2 linked regions of the Drosophila melanogaster genome follow. The protein of the gene in region 2 interacts with the protein of the main gene of each other region in a pairwise test. Each region holds a gene or a part of one and is shown on either strand. Other genes may lie near its edges. The genes, in order: CG31988 and CG2267.

Evidence for each region.
Region 1: the proteins of CG2267 (region 2) and CG31988 interact in a two-hybrid assay, tested with the Drosophila melanogaster proteins (one large-scale study listed by BioGRID).

What each region holds. Positions count from the first base shown.
Region 1 is NT_033779.5:21,200,807-21,204,769, forward strand, and holds CG31988 (uncharacterized protein), read right to left. Parts: upstream 1,997-3,963; 5' UTR 1,628-1,996; intron 1,467-1,627; 5' UTR 1,447-1,466; coding exon 910-1,446; 3' UTR 687-909; downstream 1-686.
Region 2 is NT_033777.3:30,626,424-30,630,754, forward strand, and holds CG2267 (uncharacterized protein), read right to left. Parts: upstream 2,606-4,331; 5' UTR 2,409-2,605; coding exon 2,298-2,408; intron 2,244-2,297; coding exon 1,182-2,243; 3' UTR 818-1,181; downstream 1-817.

The sequences.
Region 1 (3,963 bases), on a different chromosome or scaffold from region 2:
TTTTGAAAACTGTTGATATTTTTATTAGTCTTGGAAATTCCTATCGATTTGCCAAAAAAAACTTTCTGCCACGCCCACTCAAACGCCCTAAAGCCAAAAACTGCCACGCACTTTTGAAAAATGTTTAGATTTTTCTTCGTTTTATTGTTTGTCTTGGCAATTTTTATATGTATACCAAAAGCACTGTGGACACGCCACTCCTTTCACCTTAAAAACTCCCAAAACAGTAACGCCCACATTTTTAAACAATTTTTACTCATTTTTTTCTATCGATATCCCAGAAAAATTATTAAATTTCGCTTTTGCATTCACACCAGCTGAGTAACCGTTATCTGATAGTCGGGGAACTCGTATGTAAAATTCTATCTTGTTCTTAATTTTTTTGTATTAATTCCATATTTATCTAGATTACACATCTGCGTAACCGATTCGTGACTACGCCAAGAGACGGCCACCACTTCATATCGAGAAGAATCGATAAGGCAGTTGTACTGCGATCTTAACGGAAAGATTTTTTAAAGCTCTTCAATTTTTGTTTTTAAAATTAAATAATTCATTATTTAAAGTGCTGCCAAAAGCTTGTTATTTAACGAAAGGCTGCAACATATTGGAAAGGGCTTGCTCGACCTTATCTCACAGTAATCAGAATGTTATTTTGGGTGACCAACACCACTAAGGCAAATCTTAGGGTATACCTGTCTACCCCAATACAGAGACTTAACATATTTGTTTTTTATTTTTATTTAGTGTTTGTGTGTGTATTAAGTTTGTGTGTTAAATGTGTAAGTCTGTTTTCTTGCATGCCTCTAGGCTTACTAAGCTTCGGGAACTATTTCAACATTATTGTAAGCAAGCAAATGAACAATTTGGAGGAAGAGCAAGGATGCACCATGGTTATCCGGGACGATGTTAGCAATTGCAGGCGGGGCACACGGGCTTGTCCCCGTCGATGGTGAAAGTCTGCGAGGTTATAGGATTCTCGCACTTGTTGCACCGGAAGCAATCGCGATGCCACTTCACGTTCATGGCGAGCACCGCTGAGTCCGTTATAGGCTTCTCGCACTTGGCGCACCTGGCAGCAAAGAGGTCCTCGTAATCCTTTTTGCAATAGGGCTTGCCGTCGCGCTCATAGAACGTTTGATTGGCGAGCGGCTTTTTGCAGGCACCGCCGCAGCAAAAGCAATCTTCGTGCCAGCTCTCCCCCATGGCGCAGATGGTTTTTTCAAGGATCGGCTTCTTGCAGCCGGCACAGGTGTAGGTGTACCGCTCCACGAAGCACTTGTTGCACACTGGTTCTCCGCTCTGAACATTGAAGGTGGCATCCAGGATCTGCTCATCGCAGTGGTGGCACAGGAAGTGCTCCGGGTGCCACGTCTTGCCCAGGGCGGTGATCATACGCTTGGTGATGGCCTCCTGGCACTTGTGACACACAATGCTCTCAGTCATTTTGGCTTCTCGATTGGTAACTGCAAAAAAAAAATGTGTTTGTTAATACGCATGTACAAAACAGGGTTGCTATTGATTATCGATTTATTGAAAGAAACAATGAAAGCTGGATAGGCAACGCAAATATCAATGAGAGAAATTATAATTCTGTACTAATTTCAAGATGGGATGTATTTCTTACTGGGTTTGGCGCCTGTTTCACTACTTCCTCTTTCTTTTCGCAATGTTTTTTTCTGAATTCGTTATCGTACTCTTCTCATATATCAAAACAATTTTCACAGGGCCACCGTTTTTACTTTACTTTCTTCTAGATGGTTCACACAAAATGGGAGAACAAAAAGAAGCAATACGGACTTGGACAAAATTTTGATACTGTTTTTTTTTTTTTTTGAAAAATTTTGATGTTTTTATTCAAATAACTATAGAAAACGAAACGAATGAAAACGTATGAATTTAGCAAGACTCAAAAACTGAATGAGATATTCGATGGAAACGCTGGGGGTATGTTTTGACATCTAGAAAATGTACAAGCATCGCCTACTGGACTGTAAAGTATTTGATTTTCCTTTCTAGGCTTTCTATGTTACTGTGACTACTGTTTAAATTTGTATCAAAAGGTTAATTGCCTAAATAGATGGCAATATGCTTGTGATTTCTTTAACATAATTTTATCTCCTTACCGAAAGTTATAAACATACTTTAGTCACTTATACATATTCGAGTATAAGAATTAGTCACACCAAAAACCATTAATAAATGGGTAAAAGGATAATAATAAGGGAGGTCTTCCACTTTCAAGGGTGATTTCTCCAAGCAAAGGGGCGGCATTTCCTTGAAGGCGCTGCTAGAATGTTTCCCAATTTATTATACAAAATTTAATTAAAGCAAAAATCCTGCGAAACTTCCGCATAGCCGGCAATTAACAAGGGCTGGGGTGGTGGCTACTCCTTTAAAGGACTCATCCACCCAAACGACTCGCCAGAAGGGTCGTCGTTGCCTCTTTCATCGTGGATCATGCACTTCGAAAAAATGAATTCGCTGAAAGAAATATTACTAAAACATCCAATTATTAAAAAAACAAGAGAAACAAGTTGTTTGGCAAGTCGAAATATGAAAATATTATATCGAAAGGTTTCTCAAAAATGTGGGCGTGGCAAAAAGTTTTTATGCAAATTGATAGAAAATAAAAATATAAAAAATGAAAAAATATCAACACGTTTTTCAAAAGTGTGGGAGTGACAGTTTTGTGCGGTATGTAGGCGTTAGAATGGGCGTGGCAACATGGGCCAAAAACTTGTCTCTTAAATCTGTGTGCTGAATCTCATCCTTCTATCATTTATAGTTCCTGAGATCTCGACGTTCATACGTACAGACGGACATGGCTACATCGACTCCACTATTGATTTTGATCAAGAATATATATACTTTGTAAGGTTGGAAACGCTTCCTTCTGCCTGTTACATACTTTTCAACGAGTCTAGTATACCCTTTTACTCTACGAGTAACTTGTGTAATAAAATTGAAAGTATTCTATACAGTCTTAGCTACTTTCGTGTTTCTGTATGAGTTTTTTTAAAAGTGTGAGCTGAGTAGGTCTGTATTAACTTATTCAAAATGATTTAGAGAATTATTGAATAATATATCGTGGAGTAATTACCCACAAACCCTGAACTATTGTATAACTTAAGTATAAGTTTTTTCGTGTGCCTGTGGAACATCTTTTGTTCCCTATTGAAGGCCACTCGGTGGAGCACAGCAATGTGTGCGGTCGCTACGCAACGGGGGTGGGGGTGTGGAGCTCCTGGTGGCGCTCGGGAGTCATCGGCGGAGGACATGTCACAATTTGGTTTGCGCTTTGATGCGGTGCATGGAATTTGAAATTGCAGCACCAGTCGGACGGGCGAGCTAGTTGTGTAAGTCGGATGGGAATTTGTGTCAGGCGTCTGTCTGCGTATGCCAAAGAGTGCTCGTATGCCATCCACATCCTCATCCAAATACAGATCCAAATTCCCAGCCCCGAATATAGGTTGAGCTGCTCGTAATTATTTATATTGAGTACTACTAAGAATTTCCCATGTTTAACCGATAATTGCATCCAGTTCGCGCACTTTCTAATTGCGCAGAGTGGCGCAACATTATATTTTGGCACGTTTGTGGGACAAGTTCAAAGAGTTGCTCCTTTGGGGCCACATAAATATGTCCTTCAAGCCAACTCGTAATTGCAAACGCTCTTGCATGACCCACAATAATTTATTTGGGTTTCTCAACTGCACTCGGGTGGTTTTATTCGTGTGAGTACATTTAATTAGTCGCAAGATTAGATTAGGCCAAAAGAGGAATGAGCCGAAAAAATCCACAAAAATGGCACCTAGTTCATAATGCCGTTAGTAGTCAGAAGATTTTGTGACTAGAATATGTTGCTTTTGTGGAGATAAACAATACGTGAGTTAATGGGTAATTTGGGCAACTCCGGTTATAGCTTTTAAATTAGCTGCATAATTTTGGCAGTTCCTTGGA
Region 2 (4,331 bases):
GAATTTACTTCTTAGACTTATTAGCACACGTAGAACATACGCACCTATACTTCGATCATCTTTGATTCGCTTGAGATTTGAAGGGTACGAAAGGAAAGACAAAGCTCTTTAATATGGCCACTAATCTAGACACCGTCTGCGATCTTTCCACTATCTGACAAATTTGGCCGTCATCCAATGCGATTTTCGCCATTCTGCCCTCACTCATCCTCATGGACCACGTCTATATCTCAGTCGGTGCGATCTGTATCTGTGGCGACTCTTAAGTGCTTTTAATTATGTCCACTTAAGTCTCAATATCGCCAGCTTCCGAAGCGCGCAAATCACACAGAACCACACACATTGCCATTGCAGTGGAACAGGAAACTTGGCAGTTGGGGAGCCGGAGGAACTGCTCGGCGCACTCTAAATAAAGCATAACAATTTATGAAATTTTAATTTTTACACTTAATAACACGCCGAGTTATGGGCGCGCCAAGTGAAACGGGCCAAGCGAATTCGCCAGGAAAATGGGAAATGGCTCAGGGGGACTGACTTTCATATAGAGACATCAATGTGAGACGAGCGCGGGCAGGTGGCCAAACCTCCGGGAGTGGGACAAACTGCGGTGCAACTTGTGTGGCATCAACCGCAGACGTTGGGCGCAATTAGAGACGCTGTATATTTTTGGTGCCCGACCGACTCGCGGATTATGCCACAAGTCGGATTGTCGTCTCACGTTCGGAAAATTCGCCAATGCCAAACTGGAACATGCGATTTAAATAGCTTATATAAAATTACGCCGCTTTGATGACCATTAAATAACACACGAAACTATACAGATAATAGATAATTATTACAATTTTTTCCAACACAGTGCTGAAATTGAAAAGGCGGAGAACATTATGGACTTTGGATAATCCTCTGAATATATACACTGCAATACAAACTGATTTGTCGCACCCCCACGGGAAAATACAGTTCTTGCGCGAGTTGAAAAGTCGATTTGATTGCTGCTTCAATTCAAAATGTTCCAATCAAGAATTTTCAATTCCAATTAAAGAGGCCACCGAATGGAAAATTCGTGGCGGATTATTGGGTATTATGTTTTGCCGTCCGTTCCTCTTATTCACTGCTATCGTCCTATTCCGTTCCCGGGTGAACGTTTAACAATTTTGAAAGCGCATCTCTGTATTGTCTGATCAGTTCTGGCTGGGATCGCTGGAGGTGCTGGAGTCCAGGTGCAATGCCTTCTCCAAGGACTTATAATCGTTCGAGATCTCGACGGCGTTGTTGAGATCGTTCATCATGGTAGCGATGAGACCCTGGTGCTCCTGTTGCATTTTGTCTTGGATACGCCTGTTTTCCTCCGCCTGGCGAAGAATCAAGGACTTGAAGCGATTCTTTTGAATTTGCTCTTCGTCCTGCACATATCCTGGTCTTTTATAGACCGGCACTGGAGTCCTGATGCTTTTCGGCACATTCAAGTGGCTGGTATCAGGCAGAGGTTTCTGTTTGACTGAGGAAATCTGGCCCCTGCTCACCAGAATTTTTCGCTTGGCAGCCACTTTGGCGTCATAGGTGCGTCGGGCCTGGTAGGCACTCTGGGTTTTGGTGACACTGGCACTGTTGGCCACATGGCTGGTAATCAGTTTCGGGATTCGACTGGGACTCCTGATTGTCGTAAGCTTATTGGGTTGCTGCTGCTCGATACCTTGTACACTTTGTGGCTCACATTTTATAGGCAAAGTAAACTGTGACTTGGGAATCTGCATCAGATCTCTTCGCCACAGTTGGTGATGAAGCTTCGAAAGATCAGGACTGGTAGAGCTCCGATGAAGTGGTTCCAGGACATTCTCCGTTGGCTTGGGTTTCTCCGCCTTCGGTGGATCCAACTTGGTCACCCAAACACTCTCTGCTGTGGCCAACTTCACGGGTGTCAGCGTGACAACAACTCTTTGCGGCGGAGTCAGAGAAGCATCCTCCATTACCAGCTGAGAAGTCATCCCAATTGGCATGCTAGGCGGAGCAGAAATCTGCATGGTCATCTCGGCTGTGTGATCATAGATCATTGTCTCCGATTGCTGTAATCTCTGGCGGAAGCGTCCCATTATGACCGGACAACCAAATCCTTGTTGCGATTTTGTATTGGTAGATGCATCCCTCCGTTCAGGATTTGTAATCTGGTTCCTCTTCTGGACCACCTCCTTGGTTAAGGCGCACAAGCGCAGTCGCATCATTTCCAGTCTCTTCCAGTCAGTCATCTATTAGGGATATATAATACAGTTCATATGCTATCTCAAAAGATAATCACCAACCACTGGCGGCAGAATAGGTTTCTCATTCAGGCAGTATCCCGACTCGAACTCGCCACCTCCAATATTGTTCAGTTCACTAAGCAACGTTAGCTGCTCTGTTTCTCCGGCCATGTTCAGAAAATTTCGTGTAGAAATTTCGTGTGGAAATTTCAGGTATCAAAAATGATCTTTATGTTCAGGAATTTATTTGTTGTGTGATGTGTAGGTTAAAGGAATGGAATGGAATTGGAAAGGCATGTGAGTTAAACCAACAACGGTTGACATTTGTAGAATGAGTGTGTTTGCTAGGAGTACTAGCGTACACACCACTGTCGGTAGACTACACTGGGGAAAATACTCTACACGCACAGGGAATCGATAGGTTTCTGTTGTCATACAAATATCTAGCTTGAAATGAAATTCTTCGATTTAAAATTCTAAATCCGCTGGTGCCGTTTTCTCCGAGTGCATACCACATGCACTGCCCATCCGCACTTTTGCCTCCCAATCCGGACGAAGAGTCTGACAAATGCGCCGCTCGTCGCCGGAGCGTGCCACAAAAGGTACGGGCAGTCGAGCGTGGAGCTGGCAAACAAGGAGCCCAAATAAAGTCCACTCCATTACCGGCAGGACATTCGTCCTCTCACTGTACATACATACGTGTGTGTGGGACCGTCTGGAAATTTGTCTTGGGCGCTTGTAGGTGTGATTTGTTTTTTAAATTTCAGACCGAAGCTGCAGAAGCTGGCCAATTTGTCTCCCCCAGTGGCTGGTTGACTTTTTATTTGCAACGGAGTCACGTAGCATTTTCACTTGCATACTTGCGACATGCGGCAATTTTCCACTAAATTTGCCATGTCAAACATATTTCGGACCGGCCGGAATATATGCAGCTCCGCTCCCCATAAAGAATTCAAATTAATACATTAACAGCTCCAGATAAGCGACCTTTTGGGGAGGAAAGTAAACGCTTGGCTCCCAGCGACAGGTAATAAACGCCGAGTCGTTCCGTTCGTGCCAAAGTCTCGAAAGTTTTGCTCCAAGGCAATTTGCCTCAAGTGGCAATTCGGGAGCGTGCCAAGTGCCTCGGTAACGGTAACAGCCCACGGATTACGAGAACACGGCGTGGGCACAAGTGGGTTAAGGCGGGGCACTCTGCGGCTAACCGCCTGCACCACAAAAGGTATTTATCTCATTGTGCAGATTAAGAGCTGCTCTCAAATTAGGTGAGTGTCGTCACGTGACACAAGATGAGATCTAGATGGCGATGAGGTTGGAAATAAAGGAAAGGTGGGTGGGTGGTTCGATGAAGGGGGTTCGGGGGCTGGGCTGGGAGAGGAATACCAATGTAAAATGACTTTGCTTGCTCTAAATTGGTCGCACAGCTAAAATAACTACTGTTTTGTGCAGCTAATTATCATAACTTGTTAGCCATAACAATTTTTAGTCGGTATGGGAAAATTCATATTTTTCAAATTTTTCGCATTTTTTTTAAGGGGTACCATCATCAAAATTGGGAAAAATGGCAAAATTTTGACTTTTCTAGGCTTGAATGCCATTCGATTGGAAATTTTGTAACGATTTCAGCGAGGTATGCCATTCCATATTGCGTCTACTACTTTTTTTTTTGTTTTTGTAGAAACAATGCTAATTTTTATTCGCTAAATCAGTGTTACTGCCTACAGTGCAAAACTGAAGTTTGTTATGCAAAGCTTAACCCCATTGGAAACCTGTGACCAAATCCCATTCCGCACTTTGTTGAAAGAGAGCCAGACTCCGATCCGGTTACACTTCATAAATTTAAAGAATTATGAGCCGTGACCCAGACGGAAGCGGAATGCAATTCAGCGAAGTGGCCAGGACGCAGTGAGTCCGAAGGAAGGAGGTCAACAGGTAATAACGGTTGCACGATTGGCTGGCCCTGACAATTTCCGCTAGATTTACAACCCTAGTGGAAAGGGGTGATATCGGATTGCAAGCATACTCTTTACGTTATATCCCCATTTTGTGGTCGGTCTACTAACAATCGATGCTAGTTGAGCATTGATTTTCGCT